6 linked regions of the Rattus norvegicus genome follow. The main gene of each other region encodes a partner of the protein of the gene in region 3 in a complex. Links are inferred from orthologs where the notes say so. Each region holds a gene or a part of one and is shown on either strand. Other genes may lie near its edges.

The links.
Region 1: the proteins of Cul3 (region 3) and Klhl22 are in contact, whole or in part, in a cryo-EM structure (PDB 8K8T), measured with the Homo sapiens proteins. The link is inferred for Rattus norvegicus from reciprocal best matches to the Homo sapiens genes CUL3 and KLHL22. Residues at the interface, in NP_003581.1 of Homo sapiens: Thr14, Arg17, Ile18, Arg19, Ala20, Phe21, Pro22, Met23, Met25, Asn49, Ser50, Gly51, Leu52, Ser53, Phe54, Glu55, Tyr58, Tyr62, Leu66, Met118, Asp121, Ile122, Met124, Tyr125, Arg128, Val129, Gln133; in NP_116164.2 of Homo sapiens: Asp73, Tyr74, Arg76, Gly77, Met78, Gly81, Gly82, Leu83, Lys84, Glu85, Leu92, Ile93, His94, Leu117, Gln121, Val125, Cys128, Gln129, Gln131, Pro133, Trp146, Glu150, Asn151, Asp154, Val155, Arg157, Leu161, Phe162, Asp163, Ser165.
Region 2: Cul3 (region 3) and Klhl42 share a complex: the UniProt entries of both Homo sapiens proteins name them as parts of the BCR(KLHL42) E3 ubiquitin ligase complex. The link is inferred for Rattus norvegicus from reciprocal best matches to the Homo sapiens genes CUL3 and KLHL42.
Region 4: Cul3 (region 3) and Klhl25 share a complex: the UniProt entries of both Homo sapiens proteins name them as parts of the BCR(KLHL25) E3 ubiquitin ligase complex. The link is inferred for Rattus norvegicus from reciprocal best matches to the Homo sapiens genes CUL3 and KLHL25.
Region 5: Cul3 (region 3) and Kbtbd2 share a complex: the UniProt entries of both Homo sapiens proteins name them as parts of the BCR(KBTBD2) E3 ubiquitin ligase complex. The link is inferred for Rattus norvegicus from reciprocal best matches to the Homo sapiens genes CUL3 and KBTBD2.
Region 6: the proteins of Cul3 (region 3) and Kctd5 are in contact, whole or in part, in a cryo-EM structure (PDB 8U83), measured with the Homo sapiens proteins. The link is inferred for Rattus norvegicus from reciprocal best matches to the Homo sapiens genes CUL3 and KCTD5. Residues at the interface, in NP_003581.1 of Homo sapiens: Thr24, Met25, Asp26, Glu27, Lys28, Tyr29, Val30, Asn31, Ser32, Ile33, Trp34, Asp35, Leu36, Leu37, Asn39, Ala40, Glu43, Asn48, Ser50, Leu52, Ser53, Glu55, Glu56, Leu57, Arg59, Asn60, Ala61, Tyr62, Thr63, Met64; in NP_061865.1 of Homo sapiens: Trp45, Phe55, Leu56, Thr58, Thr61, Arg64, Asp65, Lys67, Ser68, Pro96, Thr97, Tyr98, Phe99, Gly100, Pro101, Leu103, Asn104, Tyr105, Leu106, Arg107, His108, Gly109, Lys110, Leu111, Val112, Ile113, Asn114, Lys115, Leu117, Val122.

Annotation. Positions count from the first base shown.
Region 1 is NC_086029.1:96,712,016-96,715,515, forward strand, and holds part of Klhl22 (kelch-like protein 22), read right to left. Parts: intron 3,485-3,500; coding exon 2,766-3,484; intron 1-2,765. UniProt on the Homo sapiens protein: Substrate-specific adapter of a BCR (BTB-CUL3-RBX1) E3 ubiquitin ligase complex required for chromosome alignment and localization of PLK1 at kinetochores.
Region 2 is NC_086022.1:181,733,732-181,738,031, reverse strand, and holds the start of Klhl42 (kelch-like protein 42), read right to left. Parts: upstream 2,801-4,300; 5' UTR 2,756-2,800; coding exon 1,920-2,755; intron 1-1,919. UniProt on the Homo sapiens protein: Substrate-specific adapter of a BCR (BTB-CUL3-RBX1) E3 ubiquitin-protein ligase complex required for mitotic progression and cytokinesis. The BCR(KLHL42) E3 ubiquitin ligase complex mediates the ubiquitination and subsequent degradation of KATNA1.
Region 3 is NC_086027.1:89,042,958-89,045,427, reverse strand, and holds part of Cul3 (cullin-3), read left to right. Parts: intron 1-128; coding exon 129-274; intron 275-2,285; coding exon 2,286-2,417; 3' UTR 2,418-2,470. UniProt on the Homo sapiens protein: Core component of multiple cullin-RING-based BCR (BTB-CUL3-RBX1) E3 ubiquitin-protein ligase complexes which mediate the ubiquitination and subsequent proteasomal degradation of target proteins.
Region 4 is NC_086019.1:139,133,517-139,137,505, reverse strand, and holds the start of Klhl25 (kelch-like protein 25), read right to left. Parts: upstream 2,801-3,989; 5' UTR 2,710-2,800; exon of another isoform or gene 2,699-2,709; intron 1-2,698. UniProt on the Homo sapiens protein: Substrate-specific adapter of a BCR (BTB-CUL3-RBX1) E3 ubiquitin ligase complex involved in various processes, such as translation homeostasis and lipid synthesis.
Region 5 is NC_086022.1:87,377,600-87,381,640, forward strand, and holds the start of Kbtbd2 (kelch repeat and BTB domain-containing protein 2), read right to left. Parts: upstream 2,801-4,041; 5' UTR 2,730-2,800; intron 2,690-2,729; exon of another isoform or gene 1,945-2,689; intron 1-1,944. UniProt on the Homo sapiens protein: Substrate-specific adapter of a BCR (BTB-CUL3-RBX1) E3 ubiquitin ligase complex that acts as a regulator of the insulin signaling pathway, modulating insulin sensitivity by limiting PIK3R1/p85alpha abundance in adipocytes.
Region 6 is NC_086028.1:13,606,963-13,611,135, forward strand, and holds the start of Kctd5 (BTB/POZ domain-containing protein KCTD5), read right to left. Parts: upstream 2,801-4,173; 5' UTR 2,785-2,800; coding exon 2,533-2,784; intron 1-2,532. UniProt on the Homo sapiens protein: Its interaction with CUL3 suggests that it may act as a substrate adapter in some E3 ligase complex. Does not affect the function of Kv channel Kv2.1/KCNB1, Kv1.2/KCNA2, Kv4.2/KCND2 and Kv3.4/KCNC4.

The sequences.
Region 1 (3,500 bases), on a different chromosome or scaffold from region 3:
TGTGGGAGGACCCAGCTCATTGTGCATGCGGTTGCCCCTGGACTGGTTGTCCTGGCTTCTGTAACTCAGGCTGAGAAAACCATAGAAGGCAAGCTAGTAAGCAGCAATGCTCCAAGGCCTCTAAATCACTTCCTGCCTCAAGGTTCCTGCTCGGTTGGAATTCCTTCGTTCACTGCTTTTGATGATGAACTGTGATATGGAAATGTGAGTGAATTAAACCCTGTCTTCCCCAATGTGTTTTTGTATATGGTGTTTCATCACGGCAATAGTAACCATAAGATAAACCTGATCCTCAAAGTGACCGTTTGGGGAGGTACTCTAGACCTGCTTGGATCACTGGAAAACACACCCAAGAGATAGTGAAACCTATTACAGCTGCACATACCTCTCTTATTGTAGCACCAGGGAAGTGGAGGCAGAGCACTGCTCCAAGTTCAAAGCCAACCTGGTCTATAGAGTTCTGGGCCAGCCAGGAATGCAAAATAAGAACACCCTACCACCCTCTTGGTGTAAGCCTGCCTGTCCTAGAACTCACTCTGTAGATCAGGCTGGCCTCAAACTCTGAGCTCTACCTGCCATTGCCTCCTGAATGCCAGGATTAAAGGAGGACACCACTACTACCCCACTTTCTTTCTCTCTCTCTCTCTCTCTCTCTCTCTCTCTCTCTCTCTCTCTCTCTCTCTCTCTCTCTCTCTCTCTTACCCTGTCTTTAAACAACACTGTGTAACTCTGCTCTCCCTCCTGTTTCCTGGACCACAATGTGACTATAGGTTCAGTGCTCCCTCCGCTGCCATCTACCCTCACATAGGAACATAGGACAAACCAGAGGGTATACTGCATAAATTGCATGGTCTTGGTTGGACTTTAAACTTCTCAAAGTATGCAGTAAATAAATGTTTTCTATTTATCAACTAGTTACTTTAGATATTTCATAGTAGTGATATGAGGCCAAAACACTTTGTATATATGAATTCAAAGAAAGAAAATAAAAGAACTAGTGGAAACAAAGGCAAATCAATTTGCTTCACAGGACCATTTCTTACAGGTTCAACATCAGAGTTCTAGAACATATTTGCTAAGCAGTATGTCCTCAGATTGCAATACTCTATCTACTATAAAATAATGTTTTCTTACATTCTAAGAGCTTATAGATTTTAAATCTGGTAAACTATGAATACAGAAAAGAAACAAACTCAGAAAAATCTATTTTAGGGATTCAGCCACTTCCCAGCAATCGGGAGGTGAAGACAGAATGGCCATGGATTTTAAGATCATCCTCACTACTCAGCTAGTGAGTTTGACCAAAAACAAAAACAAAAACACACAGTGCTGGGGTGGAATCAGGGCCTTACTTACTCAAGCTAGGGAAACATTAAACACTGAGCCGTAACCCTAGCTTTGTAAGGCTTGAGATGACTAGGAAGTAAATGAAGTTTTCATTTGGCAGAGATGACAGACACCCTAGTCAGCTGGCACGCAGGGCCTGGTCCTTGCCACAGCAACCTTGTAAATTCCTGTTCCTTTGATCCCACCTGCCATGCTCCAACTTCAGCTCCCAGCTGTCAGTGCTTTGGAGAGGTCTGCTTTGTAGCTCTGAATAGCTAAGGCAGGGCAGTCTGAACCTAATCCCACAGCTAGAGGCAGAGCCCTGCAAGAAAGAAGCTTGCAGGCTTGACCTGAGGGAACGCAAATTCATCCATGTTCACTGAAGACAGGATTCAGTTAGAAGGGAAGTGAGTCATTTCCTTCTTTCTGAACTCTGCAATCCCAACCATCTAACCGTTATGTATTATAGGTAGGTTTAAGTCTCATCAGTTTACCGAAGATGACTGCTTCCTAGGGCCAAGAGAACAGAAATGACCAAGAAATGCCTGCTTTCTTCTTGGTCAGTGTCACTGTGCTTTCTTGATTCATGTGGCAGGGCCAGAGCAGAATCCAGCCTTACCCTTACAGCCAAAAACACAGCTTGCATGTCAAAGTGAATTACATCGGCACTCAGCTCAGAGCTGCTCTCTAAAAACATCATCTTAGCTTGTAGTAGGCACCGGGGATGGCAGGGGTTCCCACATACACCAAGGTATAATGAAGAGAAAAGGCCCCTTAAAATCCATTGGTAGCTGGAGACTTAAACTAATGTCTCTTGTTCTGTCCAAAGAAATGGATCTCTGGGACCACAGCTAGAAGCAACCTGCAGATCAAATCAGTTCACAAAACTCCCTCAAGAAAAACTGCCTCCTCCCAGAGTATTTATTGAGTACATACTCATCCGACTACAGGCCCACGGGGAACTTAGTGAAGGCTCAATGATGCTTACTGGTCCTTCCCACTCTCTGTACTCAGATGTGGGCTCCAGCAGGCAGCATCTGAGAGACATCCTGGCTGGCAATATGGAGAAAAAGAGCAGAGACGTTGAAAAAAGGACACTGAAGAGGCAGACTGAAGATGGCAGGAGCCACTGCCCCAGCCCCTTACTGAATAAGGCATGCTCCCTGAGCACAGGCAGCCAGTGACCTTCTGCAGACAGCAAGGATAGGTGGCTGTGCTTCAGGGTGACTGAGTTTCTGGACAGCAGGTCAGGGGGCGAGAAAGCAATCTGAGCCCTTTTCCTTATTTCACTGTGGTCCACTTTGTCTGGATTCATCTGGACTCCATTACATGACACAGGGATAGCCCAGAAAAGCTGTTAACACTCATGTAAAACCCACAACTCCCGCACCTGGAGCTGCCTAAGGATAAAGGCAATGATGACAAGTGCCCTTTCATACCTCCAGCATCGGGACTCAGCTCGGAATCCTTGGACATTATTGTCCCCTCCAATTAAGTACACGAAGTTGTTGAGCACTGCAATGCCCTGGTTGGACATTCGGGGCGCTAGAGAGGCAGTGAAGTGTTTCCACTCTCCCAGAAGGGGATTCAGGTACTTGGCCTGGTCACTGAGGATTGTAGATGGTGTGGAGTGAATGCCCCCAAAGCCCACAACACACTGGAAGTCTGAGCGAAGCTCTGTGTGTGGGCCCTGAAGGCTGGGCTGCAGGCTCTCATTCCGGTGGTACATAAGGGCACTGGCCACTGTGTCCCTCAGTGGGCTAGGACCAAGCTTGTCGTGCAGCCGCTGGAGGACCTCAGCTTCCATCAGGGGAAAACGCACAGTCTCTAGGAGCTTGGGGGGTTCATGCAGTGAGATCTGGTCAGCCTGCACCTGTTCCATGGAGTAATGGTAGAGCAGGGCCCCTTCATACACTTCAGTCTCACAGGAAACCTCCAGGCGATTGCTGCTGAGGAGAGAGTAGACCTTCTCCAAGGGAAGCTGGCGGTACTTGTCAGTTCTTGAGAAGGCCACAAAGTTTTTGAGGATGTAGGTATCTAGCTGTTGGGTCAGACGGTTCAAGTCAAAGAGCTCTGCCAGCCGGTAAACATCAAGGATGTTCTCCTCATCGACCCATGACATGAGGAAATCACAGCAAAAGTGGATAATTTCTGGTATCTGTAAAAAGAAGGAT
Region 2 (4,300 bases), on a different chromosome or scaffold from region 3:
CTCTGGAAGGGAGCATTCAGCTCTGCCTCTCACACTTCAGCTTGCCAGGATTTTTAGGATTTATTTTATGTCTATTTGTGTGCCAGTGTATGTAAGTGCCTGTAAAGACTGTCAAGGGGTGTCAGATACGGATGCTGAGCACAGAACAGCAAGCGCTCTTAACCTCTGAGCCATCAGAACAAGGTATGTTTCTGCAAATAATCTCTGACCTAAAGGTCCCTTTTTCCTGTTATGGACCTGGAAGAGACCACAGTGGGTCTTGGATGGCATCAGGGGGCCTGGTAAAAAGTACCTAGCCTCAGCTGGGTGGCAGCGGCACACAATTTTAATCCCAGCACTTGGAAGGCAGAAGCAAGACGATCTCTGAGTTCAAGGCCAGCCTGATCTACAGAGTGAGAATCAGGACAGCCAGGACTATGAAGACAAACTATGCCTCCAAGATAAAAAGAAAGAAAAAGAAAGAAAGAAAGAAAGAAAGAAAGAAAGAAAGAAAGAAAGAAAGAAAGAAAGAAAGAAAGAAAGAAAGAAAGAAAGAAGAAAGGAAGGAAGGAAGGAAGGAAGGAAGGAAGGAAGGAAGGAAGGAAGAAAGGAAGGAAAAGAAAGAAGGGGAGGGAGAGAGGGGTAAGGGGAGGGAAGTGGGGAGAGAAGAGTGTGTCTGTCCTGTGTGGTTACTCTTTCCACTTCTAGGACACTGGCATCCAATGTGAGATCTGAGCCTTCCTAATTGCTAGACTAGCGTTCTCCCACTGAGACACCTTTCCCCTACTCTTTCTGGTTTTGCTACATTATCCAGGCTGGCCTGGAATTCACTCTGAAGCCCAGAAAGAATTTTAACTTGGGATCTGTCTGCTTCAGCCTTCCAAGCAGCTGGGGCAACAGGCCCACTCTACAAGCCCTGACCTCTCCTCCAGGCCACTTGGGACTGCGGCCTTTACTCCCTTCCTCTTCCTGGTGTCTTCTTTCCCAGCTCTTCCTTTATTTGCTTCTCTATATTGCTTTCATTCTCTCTTTTCCTTACTTCGAAGGATGGGAAAGATGGGTGAGGTGGAAAGGAACACATCTTCTAACAGTAAGAGGGAGAAATTGAACAGTACACACTGGTTTTTGTCATTCCCTCACCAATGCCATCTGACAACCATTGACGTGGTAAATGTGTTACATTCGAAGTCATAAGTAACAGCTCTCTGAAGGCTGGATGGCAGAGGATGGCAGGTCTGCAAGACCAGCCTGAGGAGCATACGAAAATAAAGGAAAACCACCTGAACATATGCAGGAGGTTGTATATACATACGCTCTATGCTAATGTATATATGTATAGGTGTATGTGTACATGTAGGGTTTATATGTATATGCTAATGCTACAGTCACAAAGGACTCAGGCACCCAGACTGGGGTGTCTGAGGCCTCCCAGGTAGACAACAGACGCAGAGAGACAAGGGCACACCCATTCTGTAGCTGACCGCTCCAGGCTCAAGTTTTGGGTCAAAGATGATTGCTGTCTTAGGAGGTAATAAGAAACAAATGAAGAGAGAATGAAAAGAAAAGAGAATGCTCTATGGCGATCCCTTACATCGTCCTAGGGAGAGTGGATGCACTCTCTCCTACCCAAGTGAGAAGGATCTAAAGTCGCCATCAGCAACAACAAGCTAGAGTTACCAGTTACTGCTAGTGCCTCCGTAATTCTCAATAGCCTTCTCTGCAAGCTCTTCTGAGGCAGAAAAACTTCTTACCTGGGGCCTGCACATGTAAGAAGACCACTAGGCTAGCTGATACACGGCTTGTCTTCTTGGCAAGCCCTGGGCTCACTGGGAACTCCACCAGAGGTGGAGCACTTAGCAGCACTAAGTGAGATGCCATCCATCGCCTCTGGCCAGGGCAATGAATGAAGGGTGCAGAACCCCCCACCCCCTTGCACTTACCGCTTCTGGTTCATGGAAGCCACCTGCAGCCACTCGTTGGTGGTGGGATTGTAGGAGTGTGCGGCCGAGATCTCCTGGCTGGTGATCCTGTAACCACCCACGATGAAGAGGTAGTTGTCCAAGATGGCTGAGCCGTAGCCCCTGACGTTCACCAGGTCGGGGGGCAGGTTGTTGGCCAGGGGGAACCAGCGCTCTGTGGTCTCCTCATACCTAAGCATGGACGGGGGTTCCCCCTGATACGGGTGCGGAGCCAGGGGTCCCCCGAGGAAGTCCCCCAGGGCCACCAGGACCGGGGTCCCGCGCATGCGGGCCTCCCGCAACCTCTGCTTCAGGCTGCAGTCCCCGGGGGCCTGAGGCGGCGACAGCAGTAGCGGGAATTGCGGCTGGCACAGCACCTGGTGGAAGCGCAGCACCATGAAGCGCAGGCAGGCGTCCTGCAGGTCGGGCAGCCCGTACACCTGCGCCAGGCGGTACAGCTCCAGGCAGTTGCCCAGACGCACATGCGACAGCAGCAAGCGCAGCAGCGCCGTGACCTGCAGAAAGGACGCGGCCTCCACCATCTCGGCCAGCACGCTGGCCTCGGCCAACTCGTCCTCGCTCAGGCCCCAGCCCTCGCGCGCGCCGCCCGCGTTGATGAAGTCCAGCACCAGCCGCAGGCCCGGAGCGCTCAGGCCGCGCAGCTGCTGCACCTCCGGACCCACCTCGGGCCGCACGGCCTCGCGCATGCCGGAGCGGTAGAGAGCGCGGAAGTAGTCGCTCTGTTCGATCAATTTGCTCTTGCTCACCGGGTAGCAGCGGTCTTCCAGGCGGATCTGCACCATCTCCTCGGCCGACATGGCTGGGCCGCTGCGCCCGCCGCCCGGCTGCTCAGGCTCCTCCCCCGGGCGCACAGCCTCCGCGGAGCCCGGCCTGCGCTAGCGCTTCCTTCCTTCCGCCGCTCGGGGCCCTGGGCTCAGCCCCGCCGGTGCGTCACGCGCCCTCGAAGTAAACGGCCTCTCTGAGTCTATAATCCTTGTGTCTGTGTGGGTTCGTACGCGTGAATGCAGGTGCCGGGAAGCCGAAGGCGGCAGATCACCTTGCAGCCTGAGGTAAAGACGGTTGTAAGCTGCCCTACGCGGAAGCCGAGTCCTCCTGTCCTCCGCAGCAGCAGTATGCACTCTTAACCACTGTCAAGCAATGTTAGGATACAAACAAACGTGTCGGTTCGCGGTGCTCTCCCCCTGCGCAAAAGTCATTGTACTTGATCTTCTGGTGTTTCCCGCAGCCCCACAGTCCCTGCCTGTGTGAGTTTTCCTAGGCCAGTCAGTACTGAGAGATTTTGCACCTGCAGTGTGATTCAAAGGTGCAATAACGGATTTCTGGGGCTAACGAATTTGTTAGAAGAGTTATCAACTCCATGGACAGGACAGACAGTCTTGCAGTGACTACCGGTCCTGCAGACAGACAGGAAGGCAGGCAGTGGCTTGGAGGGGGCTCCAGAGAGAGTTCAGACCCCAGCACCAGAGATGGCAGCAAAAGGGGCAAGTGGATGGAGATGATTGTCCCCTCTGGGTAGCACTTTCCCATTCTCATCCCAACCTACCCCCATCCCTGCCATAGCTGTTGGGAAAGGACATTTTTCCTGTGTTCCTTTGCGGGACACTTGGTTGGAAGGCTGGATTCCAAGGTCTGTAGTGAAGCATGGTGTCTGCCCCATGATGTCCCAGCTTGCATTCCTCAGTATTACTATATCTGTCGGCTGCTTCACCAAGAGGGGGCTGTAAGTCATTATAGTCTGCAGAATACACGCAAGGGTAAGGAGCTACGAAGTACAGAGAACATCCTATCAGGATTCTGCCTTCCTATGGGAAAGAGACACAACACACGGACCTGGGGTTTGCTATACTTCGTTACTTTCTTGGACACTCTGAAAAACTCAGGACACTAACTGCCCTGTGATTGACAGGCCTGGAATCGTTCTTGGCAGGTTTCTGTTCCCCATCCGTCACTCTTGGTGTTTGGGGTATGAGGAGGGTTTCAGGTGAGAGGCAAGGATCTAGTAGACTACAGCAAGGCAACGTGCCACGGCTACCATTAGACATTGGTCTGGGGGCTTCTGGGAAGGCCGACTTCAAAGAGGCTGGACCAGGCTCTGTCTGAGCCTCCATCAGCAACAAGGCAGGATTCAGTGAGTCACCAGAAGAACAGGCTCTTAGTCTCTGGCTCTTTAGAATCTTTACCAATGGAAGTTTTGTTTGCAGACCAGAGACACGCCTTCAACTGGTATTCTCTTGCCTTTTAAAACAAACCAGAAAGCCAACCTTTGAGAATGATTCTCATTAGAGAGGCAATTCAACCAGGGTCACATTACCACAGTGAGGTCAGCTGGACTGGAATCTGAA
Region 3 (2,470 bases):
GAGCATGAATATTTGTTATTGTTTGTTTACTTGTGTGCATATTCTAATTGAGATTTTTTTTCTCTTAATAATACTAAATTACATTTATTATTAGCTAAATCTGATAAATGGTCTTATTCCTATTTTAGTTGCAGCCAAACAAGGTGAATCTGACCCAGAAAGGAAAGAAACAAGACAGAAAGTAGATGATGACAGAAAACACGAGATAGAAGCTGCTATAGTGCGGATAATGAAGTCTAGGAAGAAGATGCAGCACAATGTTTTAGTAGCAGAGGTAAGGACACCGGAAGCCTGGGTCAACAACGTCATTGTCACACAGCACTGCTCACCAAGAACAAGATCCTGTGCATAAACACCTGCATATCAGTATGCTTTTATAAACAAATCACCTGTGTTTCTGAACATTAGTAACAGTCACCATTTTTTTAAGAGCTTTTCATAAGTTAGGAAGCCAATACCCATGAAGGGACCATTAACCTAGTTAAGACTTGAGAGGTAGAGCTGGCAGTTCATTAACCAATGATGGCAAATAAGGAGGATGACTTTAGCCTCCTGAGTTCCTCACTTGAGTAAGTAGACAGAAGTTGAGCCCCTTAACTACAGAGTGGTCCATATCTTAATTAATAATGGTTTGCATGGTTGATTTTTATTGTGTGCTGGCATATGCCTGGGTAGGAGTCAATTGTGGCACTGAAAGTTGGTTAAAAAGTGAGAAGTCCAGATGTTGAATTGGGAGCTCACATTGTATGGAAATATAGTCAGAACTGAGTCCATGTTAAATTGTTCGGGAGTACCATGGGAAAAAAACAACAGAAAAAAATTGCAAGAAAAAGCCCTACAGTTCCATATTCTGGAGCAATGAGAGTGCTTAATGAATGACACTGAGAAGAACCCTTGAAAACTGGTTTTAAAGAAGCTGTACTAATGTCATGAGTCTTAGAAATAGAGGTCATTGGTCCACCCAGACTTAATGAATCAGCACTTCCAGAGTCAGCACTCTGGCTCTAACAGGCTAATGGGTGATTATGAAGTTTAAACTGAGAGTTGGAGGTACTTTTGAAGGTTGATTGCAATTTAGACTCTGTAAGGAAGAAGAATAAGTGTAAAGTCTGTCTATTCACAGTCTATAAGATAGAGTTAAGGATTGGCAATTTCAAGTGGGTGGTTGCAAGATTTTTGTTGTTGTTATTTTTTTAATAAGTGGGTTGGGTAAATGCACTGTGAAAATGCAGAGAGGGTAAGGTTGGAAAAGAAACCTGCCAAGAACAAGGGTTTTGATACTAGAATGGAAATTGTGGAAGGATGATATATTGTAGTTGTACAGTTGGGTGCTAAAATTTCACATGTCAAAGAATTTCCAATAATTGCATGTTGGAAAAAAGCTTTGATCAACAAGAGTAAAAGAAAATCTGGCTAATGAGTCAGGGTGGATTATTGAAATGAGTGTGAGCTTTGAGGACAAAGAGGTTTGGACTCTCTCTGGTTCTGCTACTGATTGTCATTACCAACTTTTAATTTCCTTTATAAAATGAAACAGACTACATTGCAGTTAAAATTGTGAAAGTGTTTGTGTGTGTGTGTGTGTGTGTGTGTGTGTGTGTGTGTGTGTGTGTGTAGATATATATAAATATTATGTTAACAGACTGGCTGCTACAGTTGAACATATTACTGGTAGCAACATACTTAAGATCTGACTGCAGCTGGAGTAAAGAATGCCAGAAGTTTCTCTTAGTATTGGGTGCCATGCCATTGCTGTAAAGGATTGTTATCTGTCAACTCATCTCTGAAACCCTAGCTGGACTGAGATAATCAGGAATTTAAACCCAAGCAGTCTGGATCCAGAGCCTTTGCTTGTAAACACTACTAGGTTCTATGAACTGGGAAGGTAACCCAGAAGTTAATAATATCATCGAAATGATTAAATTATATGCTGGTATGTATTCAGAATGCTGAACTCTAACTAATCCTCATTAGCATCCATATTTTGACACATGGAAGTGTGCTCTAAACATCCAGTAAATTTTCAAGTAAAAGCTTTAATATTTGGTACTTTTTCCTGTCCAGTTCTTTTATCTGTTATGTTGAGGCTTCACATTCCCAAGTGCTTAAGATTATAGGTATAAGGCACCATGCCTGGTACTTTAAAAAATTTAAAAAATTTAGGTGTACAGTCACTAAATTTTTTAGCTTTAAAGTGGCATGTCCGCTCTAGTAGAAGATGGGGATTTTTGTTTGTTTATGTGGAAGTGTTTTAGTTAAATTTAGACTTTACCTTTTCTTTTTAGGTAACTCAGCAACTGAAGGCTCGATTCTTACCAAGTCCAGTTGTTATTAAGAAACGTATTGAAGGACTTATTGAGAGAGAATATTTGGCACGAACACCTGAGGATCGCAAAGTATACACATACGTAGCATAAAATGCATTCAGAAATTTGATTTATTCTTGGACTGTACTCTTCGCATGGACTGG
Region 4 (3,989 bases), on a different chromosome or scaffold from region 3:
GACCAGAGACTGAGCTCCTTCCACTCACCCTGTGCTGAAGGGACTTGAGGGGGAGCCCTGCCAACCTCAAAGTCCCTTCCTGTCCCTTCAGTTTCTGCTCCCGTGTCCTAACAAGCCCCAGAGACACCTGGCAAGGCAGGCGGCAGTTGTCAGCTTCAGATGCCTTTAGAACTGGTCCCAGCAGAGGGTTCACGGGGCACGGTTGCAGACAAGGAGAAAAGCCTGCAGTGGCAGCCAGAGAGCAGCAGACTCATCACAAGTCCTGCTGGGATGTGGTTTCTGGGAGCTGTGGATGCTCAAGTTCTGCCTCTGCCTGGCCATCCTCACAGGGCTGCAAGTGTTTCCAGGCCTGGAAAAGGATTCACTGGCAGATCAGCAAGGCAATTCAATTATGAAATTTACCACATTAGCTGACTTACTACATTAGCATTTCAATTGGCCAATTCATTTGTGGCCCACCACTGTTGGCTTGTGCCAACTCTCTCTAGAAGGGGGTGTGTGTGTGTGTGTGTGTCTGTCTATCTGTGTCTGTGTGTGTCTGTGTCTGTGTGTGTCTGTGGCCCTGCACCTGGTGAGCAGGAGCCCCTCAGAAGTTGCACGGGAAGCCAGGTCCTCAAATGAACCTGCACAGCTGCCCACAGTGTCACACTGTCACAGCCAAGGATGAATCTTTTGGTCAGCTCCCATCTGCCTTTTCCCTGTAATCACCTGTGCCTAAAGCGAGCATCCTAGAGCTGGCCCTGGAAGAGATTGGACAGATGGCTAGAAAACCGGCTGCAGCCAGGGCAGAGAATGGAGGCTCGGTGGGCCTGTGTGCCAGCTTTCCTTCTCTCTCCAGGAAACCTTCACCCTTCTCTCCAGCTCCCTGCTTCCCTGCTCACCGGGGCTCTGCAAACCTATGAGCCAGGGCCCCCAATCCATGAGCCAGCACCCACTTCTCTGTAAAAGCAGGGTCTCAGTAAGGTCTGCTCAAATGATAAATCTGACTAAAACTACCTCTGTATCACATGCTCACTGTTCCAGGCCACTCTCCTCCCTCTCAGTGACAGGAAAGATGCAATCAATCATTGCACATCACACATGGGGACATTTTTTCCTCCTACTTTTCTTTCCCCACACTGGTGTCACAGACTTAGGATGCCATCAACAGGAAACCGAGCCACTGTAGAACATGCAACTTGCACGCAGACCTTGTACTGCATGGTACAGGGAACCCAGCTCCAGTTTGATGCCCATGACAAAGGTTTCATCCGTCCATCCTCCATAATTCCTTTAAAAACCTCCCTGGACTCACTGGCTGACAAATGACTCAACTGAAATATCAATAACTACAGGGCCTGGGACAAAAGTGACTTTGCCGGTCTCCACAGACAAAGCCTGTGACCTCAAGAACCCTGTCTTAGAGGGACCAAGCCTACTTGCTGTAGGATAAGAGCACCATAGGGCCTCCCTCCTCTGTCCCCAGACACAAGCTTTCAGCAACACCCATAAAAAGTACTCCCAGCATAACTGTGCCGCTTATGAAAGGTTCAGCACACTAGAGGGTCAGATGCCAAGTCCCCCTCCCTCCCTGTCCTACTCCAAGACAGGGTGAATAGCCCAGACAATTGGCATACCTTATCCTGCCTCATCAGGGAGGGAGAACTAGTGCCCAACAAGCCTTGGCCAAAGCAACTTGGCCTTTGGTCTCCCCAAAGTACAGTTGAACTACAAAGGCCCCTGTAGTCCACCCCTCCCCCCAGCTTCCTGTGCTTGAGTCTCTAGAAATTCTCTGGGATTGGTACGGTGGCATTTGCTTATAAACCCAGCTCTCAGGAGGCTGGGACCAGAGGATTTCACGCTCAAGACTGGCTGACTTCATAGCAAGACTAAAAACGGGAAAAAAAAAAAAGGAAAAAAAAGAAACCTAAAGACTGTGAGAATCCACTTTGAGGTCCTTGAAGCACTTGCACCCAAGTGTCTGGTACCCCAGTAGGCACCATTCCCGAATAGGAAAAAGAAGCTTCTAATACAACTATGAGACCAGTCAAGTGGGGATTTGCAGACCACAGCGGAATTCTCGCGCCAGGGCAACGCATGGAAGGAGGGTTGAGGGGAGGGGGAGCGGCCGGGGAGCGGATGAGTTGCTACAGCCCTGCCAGATGGGCCACCACCTGGGTGGGTAAGGGCGTATGGCTCCGGGAGTGTCACCACTCCCCTTGACAGACAACTTCCCAGACAGGAAGGATCCTATGCAGCGGGCCACACGGCCAGGCCCTGCTGTCTACTCTTCCCTGGTTTAACCCCTCCGCCCTGGCTAGGCAAAGGAAAGCTCTGGGACCCTGGCTAGGTGCGAGCGCAAAGCAGCACGGTTCGAATCCTCGAAGACAAGCAGCTTCCTCTTTCTAGGATCAATAGTAATTTTTTTTAAAAAGATAATCAGCGGACTCAATGAATCAAACACTCCCGAGGGAGGGTAGCCTCTCCAGCGCGTAACATCCGTTTGGAAAACAATTCATTCCCTTGGCGGGAGCTCTGAACATAACAGTACGGGGTCCCCAAGCTCGACCGAGGGGCGCTCCCGGGTCAACACCCACTTCCCCCACCCAGTGAACCGGGCCTTCGGTCCCACGCCCTGCCTGGCGATCCTCCCGCAGGGTCGCTCGCTGTCCCGGTGACAATTCCCGACGACGGCGCCCCCTGTCGACTCGGTCCCGACCTGGTCCTCACCGTGGGGCCCCACAGGCTCCGCAGTCCCCGCCGCTGCCGCCGTCCCCGGCCGGCTCTCCAGTCCCGGCCGCGATCCCGTAGCCGAACCGCACCGGCGCCGCCAACAAACTAGTTTCTCCGGCCTTCCCGCCCCGCCTCGCGGCCCGAAACCCAACAACCAATCATAGACCGTGTCTCTGTGACGGATGGGCCGACTAACCTGTAATACAGCCGTGTGAGAAGAAAGGGACGGTCGTCCAGGCCACCGGTGCCGCGGGAGGCGGGGCGGAGAGAGGAAAGCGACTGCCACCAGATTCTTAAAGGGACAGACTATTGCCTTTCTGCTCTGGTGGCCAGAGTTGGGAGAAAGCAACACGACCTATTCTAGAGCTTTCCTTAAGGAAGATCCTTGTAGATGACACATACTTCTTTCAGTACAAAAGATTTCTTTCTGATTTCTTTCCGAATCATAGCCATTGTTGATCTTTTTACAAACCTGCAATGTAATCGTCCCTGTGTTAAGGAAATCCTTTTTTACTCCCCGGTGGATGTGGGGGAATTTCTACAGATGTGAATCCCTGTCTAGACTGAGAATCCATGTATTTCAGGGGAGAGGACTTTAAGCTTCAGTTCTGTCAAGTCGACGGAAATTTCTTCCTAAACTTTTTTTTTTAATACCCTTCAAATATTCTTCACTCCAGAGGTACAAAACTGATAGAGTAAACCCTTATCTACACATATATACATATACATATACACATACATACATTCAACACACATATAGAATTTATTTGAGTGACTTTCAGGCTGTGGCTGGGTAGTTCAACAATGGCTATTTGCAGACATAACGTCCATGAATCTAATTGTCAGTCCATGAGGCCAGATGCTTCCGCTGATCTTCAGTATACCTTGGAACCCACAAGTTGGCTATAAGACAGTGAAAGAATAAACCTACCTGTGAGAGTTAAGGGCAGGCAAAAAGCAAAACTTTCCTTCTTCCAGGTCCTTTATGTAGTCTGCCATTAGAAGGTGTAGCCCAGATTTAGGGTGGGTCTTCCTACCTCAAATTCCTCACGGTGTACTCAGCTGCTTGGGTTGTAGCTAGTCCAGATAAAATCAAGTTGACAACCAAGAATAGACATCACCCTTTCCCAATGCATCCATTAGTTCATTTAAGAATTACTAGACCTGGACAGTGGGGGCACACTCCTTTAACCCCAGCACTCAAGACAGAGGAAGGTCAATCTAATTTTCAGACCAGCCTGATCTATAGAGTTGATCCCAGGACAGTCAGGGCTACA
Region 5 (4,041 bases), on a different chromosome or scaffold from region 3:
AAGGGTTTTGAGAATGGCTGGGGTTTTTGTTTGTTTGCTTTTAAAATATGGCAAATCTGACATCAGTAATTTTCCCTCCTCTAATAAACCTTGGAGCTCAGGTCTGTTCCTACATGTTCCTTTATTCCCAGCTCAGACAGGTTATTGATGCGTACTTATGTAAACTGAAGCATAAGGACAAGCTCTTACACTACAGTATGGTCAGTAAGTTACCCAGGGCCTATGACAGAATCATTGAGCTCAGGATGCCATTTTGAATTATCACTCCTTTACCTCTCCATTTTACTCAGTCTCAAGAAGGGGCGGGGCCTGGCTGATACAAAACTGACCCAAAATTTTCCATTAACACTGTTTTCTTGGGTCAGTTCCTCCAAGTACAACAGAAAACAATTACTGACAAGAGAACCAAGAACTGTTTTTGTAACTTTGTAACAACATTGTTTAAATCAACTTGCCATTCCTGATACCCCAAGTTATGCAAGTATCATCTTGGATACTCACATTCTTATATAGAGTATAAGGGGTAGAGCCCCTTAACATTAATTACTACTAATTAATTAATACTAAAATGTGTTTCCTTACAGAAATATAGAACTCAAAACTTGATGCTGAGTGTGCCCTTTCTCCAAAAGCGGGCAGGGGAGGAAATGCATCCTGGTAGCTCAGGCCAACCTTAGGTTACCCAGCAAGATCCTGTCACTTAAAAAACAAACAAGGGCTGGGGCTATTGCTCAGTAATAAAAGTAGGGTGTTTGCTTAGCATCCCCAGTGTAACAAAAATAAGTGAACCATAAAGGTAAAGTTCTTGGAAGCCCCTGCTTGCAATGAAAGGCACTACGAGTCACCACTGTCATTTATATGAGTGGAGTAAAGAAAGATGGTCCTGTTACACTTCATTGTCTTCACTATCCCATGACCACCTCTCCTTCCCATAAAAGGATCTAGGGACTCCAATCGTCCCAAAACATCAAGAACACCTTCCTTCCTACACCTAAGTGCTTGAGACCAACCTGACTAACGCTCTTAACTACTCAAGTTCCATATGTATCTGCTTTATTCAAACTCTGAAAAACAGGGCAAGACTGGTGGATAACAAGACGCGTTTCAGGACAGCAAAACTCATCATTTTCTCAGCCCCAACTGTCTTAGGAATATGGCTGAGAAGGGGTGGGTGGGGGGTGGTCAACAGTTTACTAAATCGCATGCAAATCTGTGGAAAACCAGGTATCTTTTGGCTTTCAAGACTGTATTCAATAGGGCATGGTATGCTAGTACTAGTCTGCAACTCCAGGTTGATGCAGGATTTTAAGGCAAGCCTGGGTTACACTATTAATACAGTATACCTCAAGACACACCTCAGGTTTCTAGGAATTTAACAAACATCTAAAACACATTCAATATTCAAAGCATAGAAACTAAGAAATTCTCATTATTTCTGCTAGCTAAAAAGAAAACTCTACAGTGGCCTCACTAATTAATTACCATGACTCCTTTTATTTCTGTCATCTCCTTAAGTGAAAAGTTAACATTTTACAGTACTGCGCTTATGGAAATAAAAGGGAGAATAATTACAGTACTTATCTGAATAGAGGAAATAACAGCGTGGAAACACACGGACTACATACAAAGTATGCTCAACGGAAAAGCCATAGTTGCCAAGAATTATACCCTCTAAGATTTCTGGCCCTGATCTAAAAGAACCTGAAAAAGCGCTTAACTAACAAAAGAGCAAAGCAGAAAGGCATAACGTTATCAGACAGACAAAAAGAGCAACAACACTTCACATCACAGAGACTGGGAAAAACAACTGACTTGACTTTTCAAATAGACCTTAGGTTACAAATAAGAGCTTTACCCAAAGGCCGACATGGTCTATATTACTCAAATTTGGGGAACAATTCACAACGCAAAAGAAAAGAAGATAAGTAAAATGTATTAACTCACAGGAAGAAAATATAATTCCAGTCAGAGCATTCTCCTGATAGGACTGTTCTTTAGTGTCTGCTCATTGAGCCAGACTTACAGATTCATGTATAAACAACACGTGACCAGCACTGTCTTTTCCCCAGTCTTTTACAAAGCTGATATAGCTGTTCACAAAGCAAAGTCTATCAAGTTTACTATCTTAGTTTCTTGCTTAACTTACGAGGGGCCACCAAGGAAATTCTAGAGAGCTGCAGCCCGGAGAATACGTATTTCCTTTCCTTTAAGTAGCTATAAAAAGAAATCTTAAAACTAGTAGGCCAGGAGTTTGATGGGGCGGGAAGTGGGGGAGAGCACACGTTAACTCAAAACAACTGCACTACGGCAGCGAACAGTCTATTCAACGGTCTTCTGATTTAGCAGGAGAAGATGAGTCCAGTTCAAACCCACGATTTCCCTCTAAAACAAACAGGTTTCAAAGGGCAGCTTCCCCTTCCCACAGTAGAGCACACGCAGGCCGAGGACAACAGAACCCCGGCTAACCTGGCTAACTCTTAGTTACTGCCGATGTGCCAAGAAAAAGAAAGAAAGAAAAAAAAAAAGGCAAGGACGCGGTCGCCGGTCTTCAGCTGCCGCGACACGAGCGGGGCAAAACAGCTCTGCCTCGGAAGGACGCCGCCCCGAGCCCCGCGGCCCGCGCAAGGCCCCGCCGGAAACACCGCGCGCTCGGCGGAAGCGCCGGAGTTTGAAAGCCGCCGCCGCCCCGGCCCACAAAGGCCGCCCACCTCGCGTCCGACCGGGCTCACCTCGGCCCCGGCCGCCCAGCTCACCGCGCCGCTCCGCCGGGCTGCACTCACGCGGCCGCACGCACAGCGGGGGCGTGTCGCTGCGGGGATCCGGGCCGCTCGCTTCCGCCCCCGCTTCCGCTTCCTCGCGCCTCCTGGGCTGGGCCGTCACGGCCTGCGGCCCGCGCCCGCGCCCTGGCCCGCTCCAGCAGCGGCTCTGCCGGTTCCCAGATGTCCGCGCCTGGACCCCGCCTTCATCTGGCTCACCGCGCCCTTTTCCTTTGCCCCACCGGAAAGCCAAAACAATCGGAGCCGCGCAGGCGCGGGAAGGAAACGGAAAGCAGGAAGGGCGGAGGCGGTGCGAGGTGACGCCGGCGTCTGTGTTGGGGCTTCCCGGGCTACCGCCCGGCAGCTAGGGCGCGTGCGTGGAGCGGGGTCGTGGGGCCACCCAGCCTCAGGCGTGGCCTGGAAAAAGCAGTTCGGAAAGTTCTATTCAGCGGCGCTTGTAGCTGCAGTTGTCCCCTCCATTCCCCAGATTTCAAAGCAGAGCCTTGAAGCAGCAAGTGCTTGTGGTCTATGCCTGTTATTTATAACTTGCCGTGTCTTGTTAGCAAGCAAAAAAATTATAGATTTGCTTGAAGATACGTGTTACAACAAAACCAAAAAACGTTCAGAATTGTCTACTTCCTAACTTCCATGTCCAGTCTCGAGAATAGGGGTGGCTACAAGACAAAAAGCAGGTAAAGTGGCAGACGCCTCTAATCCCAGCTGGCAGGAGGCTGGAGAAAGGATATCTCAGGAATTCCAGATTGAGTTCAAAGTTTAAGAGGAGCGTATGAACGACATGAGACCATTTAAAAGTACGAGTTTGGTAGAGGGGCTTAACGGGCCCTCAGAATGCATTACAGACAATGTATCTATTTTGCTTCCTTCTAAGGATACAAAGAAAATCTAGTTGACTGCGGTCGTGTATAATGTATCTATCCATCCCATTTTGCTTTCTTGTAATGATACAAAGAAAATATAGTTAAGCGTGCTCATATAAAATATAGTTAGCTGTGCTCATATACAATGTATCTATCCACTCCATTTTTGTTTCCCTGTAATAATAATGCAAAGAAAATCTAGTTGACCAAGGTCATTATGAACACCTAGCACTGAGCCCAAGGAACTTGTAATTATGCGGCTGCTTTGTCGCATCTTGACTGTGTGTATATGGGAGTCATAAGTCACCCCTATAACGATAAATTATACAAAGTTTAATCTGGACATAGTGGCACAGTCCTTTAATTTCAGCATGGCAGAGTCAGGTAGGCAGATTTCTGTAAATTCA
Region 6 (4,173 bases), on a different chromosome or scaffold from region 3:
TTACATTATGTGTATGAGTATTTTAAATGCCCATGCGTTATGTGTAACATGTATGTGCCTGATGCCAAAGGGGTCAAAGGAGAGTGTCAGACTCCCCAGACCTGGAATCACAGATTGTTAAAAGCCACTATGAGAAGTTCTGAGAATCCAACCTGGGTCCTCTGTAAGAGCAAGTGTTCTTAACCAGTGAGCCAACTCTCTAGTTCCTAAAGAATAAACTTTTTTTTTGGGGGGGGGGTTCTTTTTTTCGGAGCTGGGGACCGAACCCAGGGCCTTGCGCTTCCTAGGCAAGCGCTCTACCACTGAGCTAAATCCCCAACCCCAATAATAAACTTTTAAAAGCAACTAAAATATATTCTGATAATCTTACATTGCAATAAAGAAAAAACGCATATCCACATAGACACACACACACATTTATTTATGTATGTGTGTGGGCACACAAGTACCATAACAAGCAACGAAAATTCACTGTACAATTTTTTTTTTTTTTGAGACAGTTTCTCTGTATAGCCCCAGCTATCTGGGAACTCACTCTGTATACCAGGCTGGCCTGGAACTCAGAAATCCGTCTGCCTCTACCTCCTGAGTGCTGGGATTAAAAGCAGTGCACTCCCACACCAGGCTTTTTGTATATGAATTTTTAATGACATATTTTATGTGCATTAGTGTTTTGCTTGCATATGTCAATATGGGTCTCGGATCCCCTGAAACTGGAGTTACGGTTGTGATGTGGGTGCTGAGTATAGAACCCAGGGTCTCTGGAAGAACAGCCGGTGTTTTCAACCACTGAGCCATCTCTCCAGCTATTTTGTTTTGTTTTGTTTTTTGAGTCAGTGTTTCTCTGTGTAACCTGGCTGTTTTGAAACTCCCTCTGTAGACCATGCTGGCCTCAAACTGATATATCTGCCTGCCTCTGCCTCCCAAGTGCTTGAATTAAAGGTATGCACGGCCACTGCTCAGCTCAGAATATAACTTTTCAGTCAAGTGTTTCTCCTTCCACCTTGTAGATCCTAGAGACTCTTAAGTTGTCAGGCTTGATTGGCAGCTTGTGCCATCTCACCAGCACAATAAAGGATAACTTATAAAATAATCTTAAAAGACAGTAAAATGAAGAGATATATTTGACTTGAACTGTGCAGAAGTCAAACAATTCTAGATCCATTGTTCCAGTGCTAAGTAGGCAAAAGACACCAGAAGCCAATGGCCAAGGCTGATTTAAAATTTAAAATCTGATTTAAGACAGAGATGCTTGAGTAGAAAGACAAGAATGATTATAAATGCCCACTGTTTGAAAAACCAACAGTAAAACATACAGCCTCAACTATAAAAAGAAAACACCAATGACCAAAGCCTATTTCTATCCTTCAGACTTCTGTCATCTTCTAGGAGGTCAATTCTCTACGAGTAAAGAGATTTGGTCAACTCAGAAATGGGAACAGCTGGGAGGAAGGATATGAGGGACTACCACAGTATATCTCAAACCCTAACTTCGTGATTATTTTGCAGTAACTCAAGAATTCTTATTTCCTGATCATAATGCCAGGCCTCACTGTGAAGGTGCTCTGTCAAGCTGTTTAAAGTGCAGTGGGCTCCAATCTTTCTCGAAAACCTCCTGAGTGGAAACTTTCAGGTGGCAAGGCACAAAATCAAGTGCCATCACGTAAACTGAACCAGAAAACTCAGTAAACTGTCTAGGAGGAAAGGGGAGAGAACGATTTTTCCCTATATTTCGGTCCTGCACAATACTTATTTCTCAGTTATGCAATATATCACACAACTTTTGTAATGATAATAATCGAAATACCTTCTATTACCACAGGTATAACAGTATTAGCGTTTAATTAAATTAAAACTAAACAAACCACAAACTAAGCTGGAAATTCCTACTCTTTTCAAAGGCAGTGGGGAAACAAAGTCTGAAAAGCAGATCGAAAAGGATTCTCTCTACCTGGTCTCTCTTTCACAATCCTAAGGTTTTTCTACACCTGGCCCCGAACATGAATTCAATACAAATAATTCATATATTAGAAGTAAACTGACACCCTTGAACATTTTTACTCAGGAGGTACCTTCTAAGAGCTGCGATGCCTGTTCTTATTATGGATGAGAAGGATGAAGCACAAACTCTGCAAGTCACTGGAAAAAGGGTAGCCACTGTGGCAACCCTTATGGCCTACGTTTATTTAAACGTCTGGAATGTGAAAAGACCAGATGAATGCAAAGGGCTCTCAGGTTCCAAAGCCAGCAAATAGTTGGGCGGTGGTAGTCACACACCCTGGGCAAAACAATCTAGGGAGAAGAAAGTAGGGACACAGCAAAGCTTGGGTCTTTCTCGACCGAAGAACATGAAAAGCAAGAGAAGCACTGTTAAACCTGAGGCAGGTGGGTACAAGAGTGCCATCCTTCCCCCGGCCCAGGACGCTAGGCTGAGTATGTCCGCTTCGCTGGGCGCCCTCAGTGTGGAGAGAGGTGTGTGCCGCGAGTGGCTACCAGGGCGGCCAGACCCCTGTTGACCCGCGAGGCCCTCACCTTGTCCGAATCTAGGTCGGGGTCCGCCTGGCACAAGCGGTACAGGAAAGACTTCGGGTCCCGGCACAGCGTCTGCCGGGTGGTGAGGAAGTAGGTGCCGCCGACGTTGAGACGGACCCACTTGGACACGCCACTGGGGCGCTGAGCCAGGGCGCCGATCCCAGCGCTGCAGCGGCGGCACAGGCCGCCCCCCAGCCCCGCCCCGAGGCCGCTCGGAGCCGGCGGTAGCAGCTCGCAGTGATTCTCCGCCATGATCCTAACAAGCCCCGCCACAGCGCCCCTTCGCCGGAAGCGTCCGTTCTTTAATACAGTCCCCCGAGTTGGCCCGCCCATAAGTACGCCCCAATAAAGTGCCCGCCCAGGTCTCATGTGCAAGACGGAAGTTCCGGCTCGAAAAGCAGACCGGAGATTACAGCTTCCGGCTGGAGCAAGCCTCGGGTTCTCACGGGCATCCTAAGCTCAAGACCCGCCCCCACCCAAAGAGAATCCAGGACAGAAGAAAGTGTACACTCTACATGCTTTTATTACAAGACTACCGAGCATACGAGGGAAATCCATCATCCGGTAATTACATCTAAAGCACAGATATTTGAAAAAAAAAGAAGTTGTTTCATTAAATTATATGATTAAACCATGACCAAATAGAAAATTTATATAATAAAGCCAGGAAAAAAGTTGTAAAATATAGTTTACAATAATTATTCACATTCAAGGCTGTACATCAATACATACAACGTGGCCCCAAACATGAATTCAATCCAAATAATTCATATATTAGAATTTAAATAATACAGACTGAACTAGAGGCCGACAATAGCCAGCAAATAACCTTATATAAGAATAAAAATACAAAAGTGTATATCCTAGTATCATTGCATTATCTGTTTTCATAAGTATTTTTAATTTTTCCTTTGCCTGTACATCACAGTTACAGCTACAGACCAGGTAGAGAATATTACATATGTTCTAACTGACTGCCACCAACCTGAATGACAGCAATAGACTATTGATTCATCCTACTGTACGTGGCTAGGGAATAGCCGCAGCAGCTCTAAATACTGTAACAGTTTTTGATTTGTGCCATGTTCAATCACACTATGGTCATAATGGAGGCTTTCGCCTGCACAGTGACCCACTTGCAGTCACTAACCCAGATGATTAAACTAGGGTGGACTACATGAGGAGGGGAAATTTTGCCATTTGTAAAAATTTCTGTAGAGTTTGGATTCTTCATATGGAAGAAATGAATTACAGGGAATTTTCAGGTATGCATATTGGCTAGTTCATTTGCTTACCGCTGCAAACGTGCTTGAAAGAGCTTCCTTCCAAGGCCATTGTTCCACATTCTAACCTACAACCCTCAAGTGTTAGGCCAGAAGCCACTTATCTTCAGAGGTTCTGAGAGTCGTCCTAGCCCTGTCAAATCTGTCAGGACCCTTATCATACACTCTGCCTAAGAGGCGCTACACCCATTGGCATCACCATCAGTTTATGTTGGGTTTTGCATTAAAACAAGTGGAAAAAGTGTATGGCAGCATCTTTGCCATACTCAATAGTTGCTATGGCCTCCCAAGTCTCAGCTATGAACACCCTGGGTCTATGGAACAGTGGGGAGAAGCCTTGAGGCAGAGAAGGGCAGAA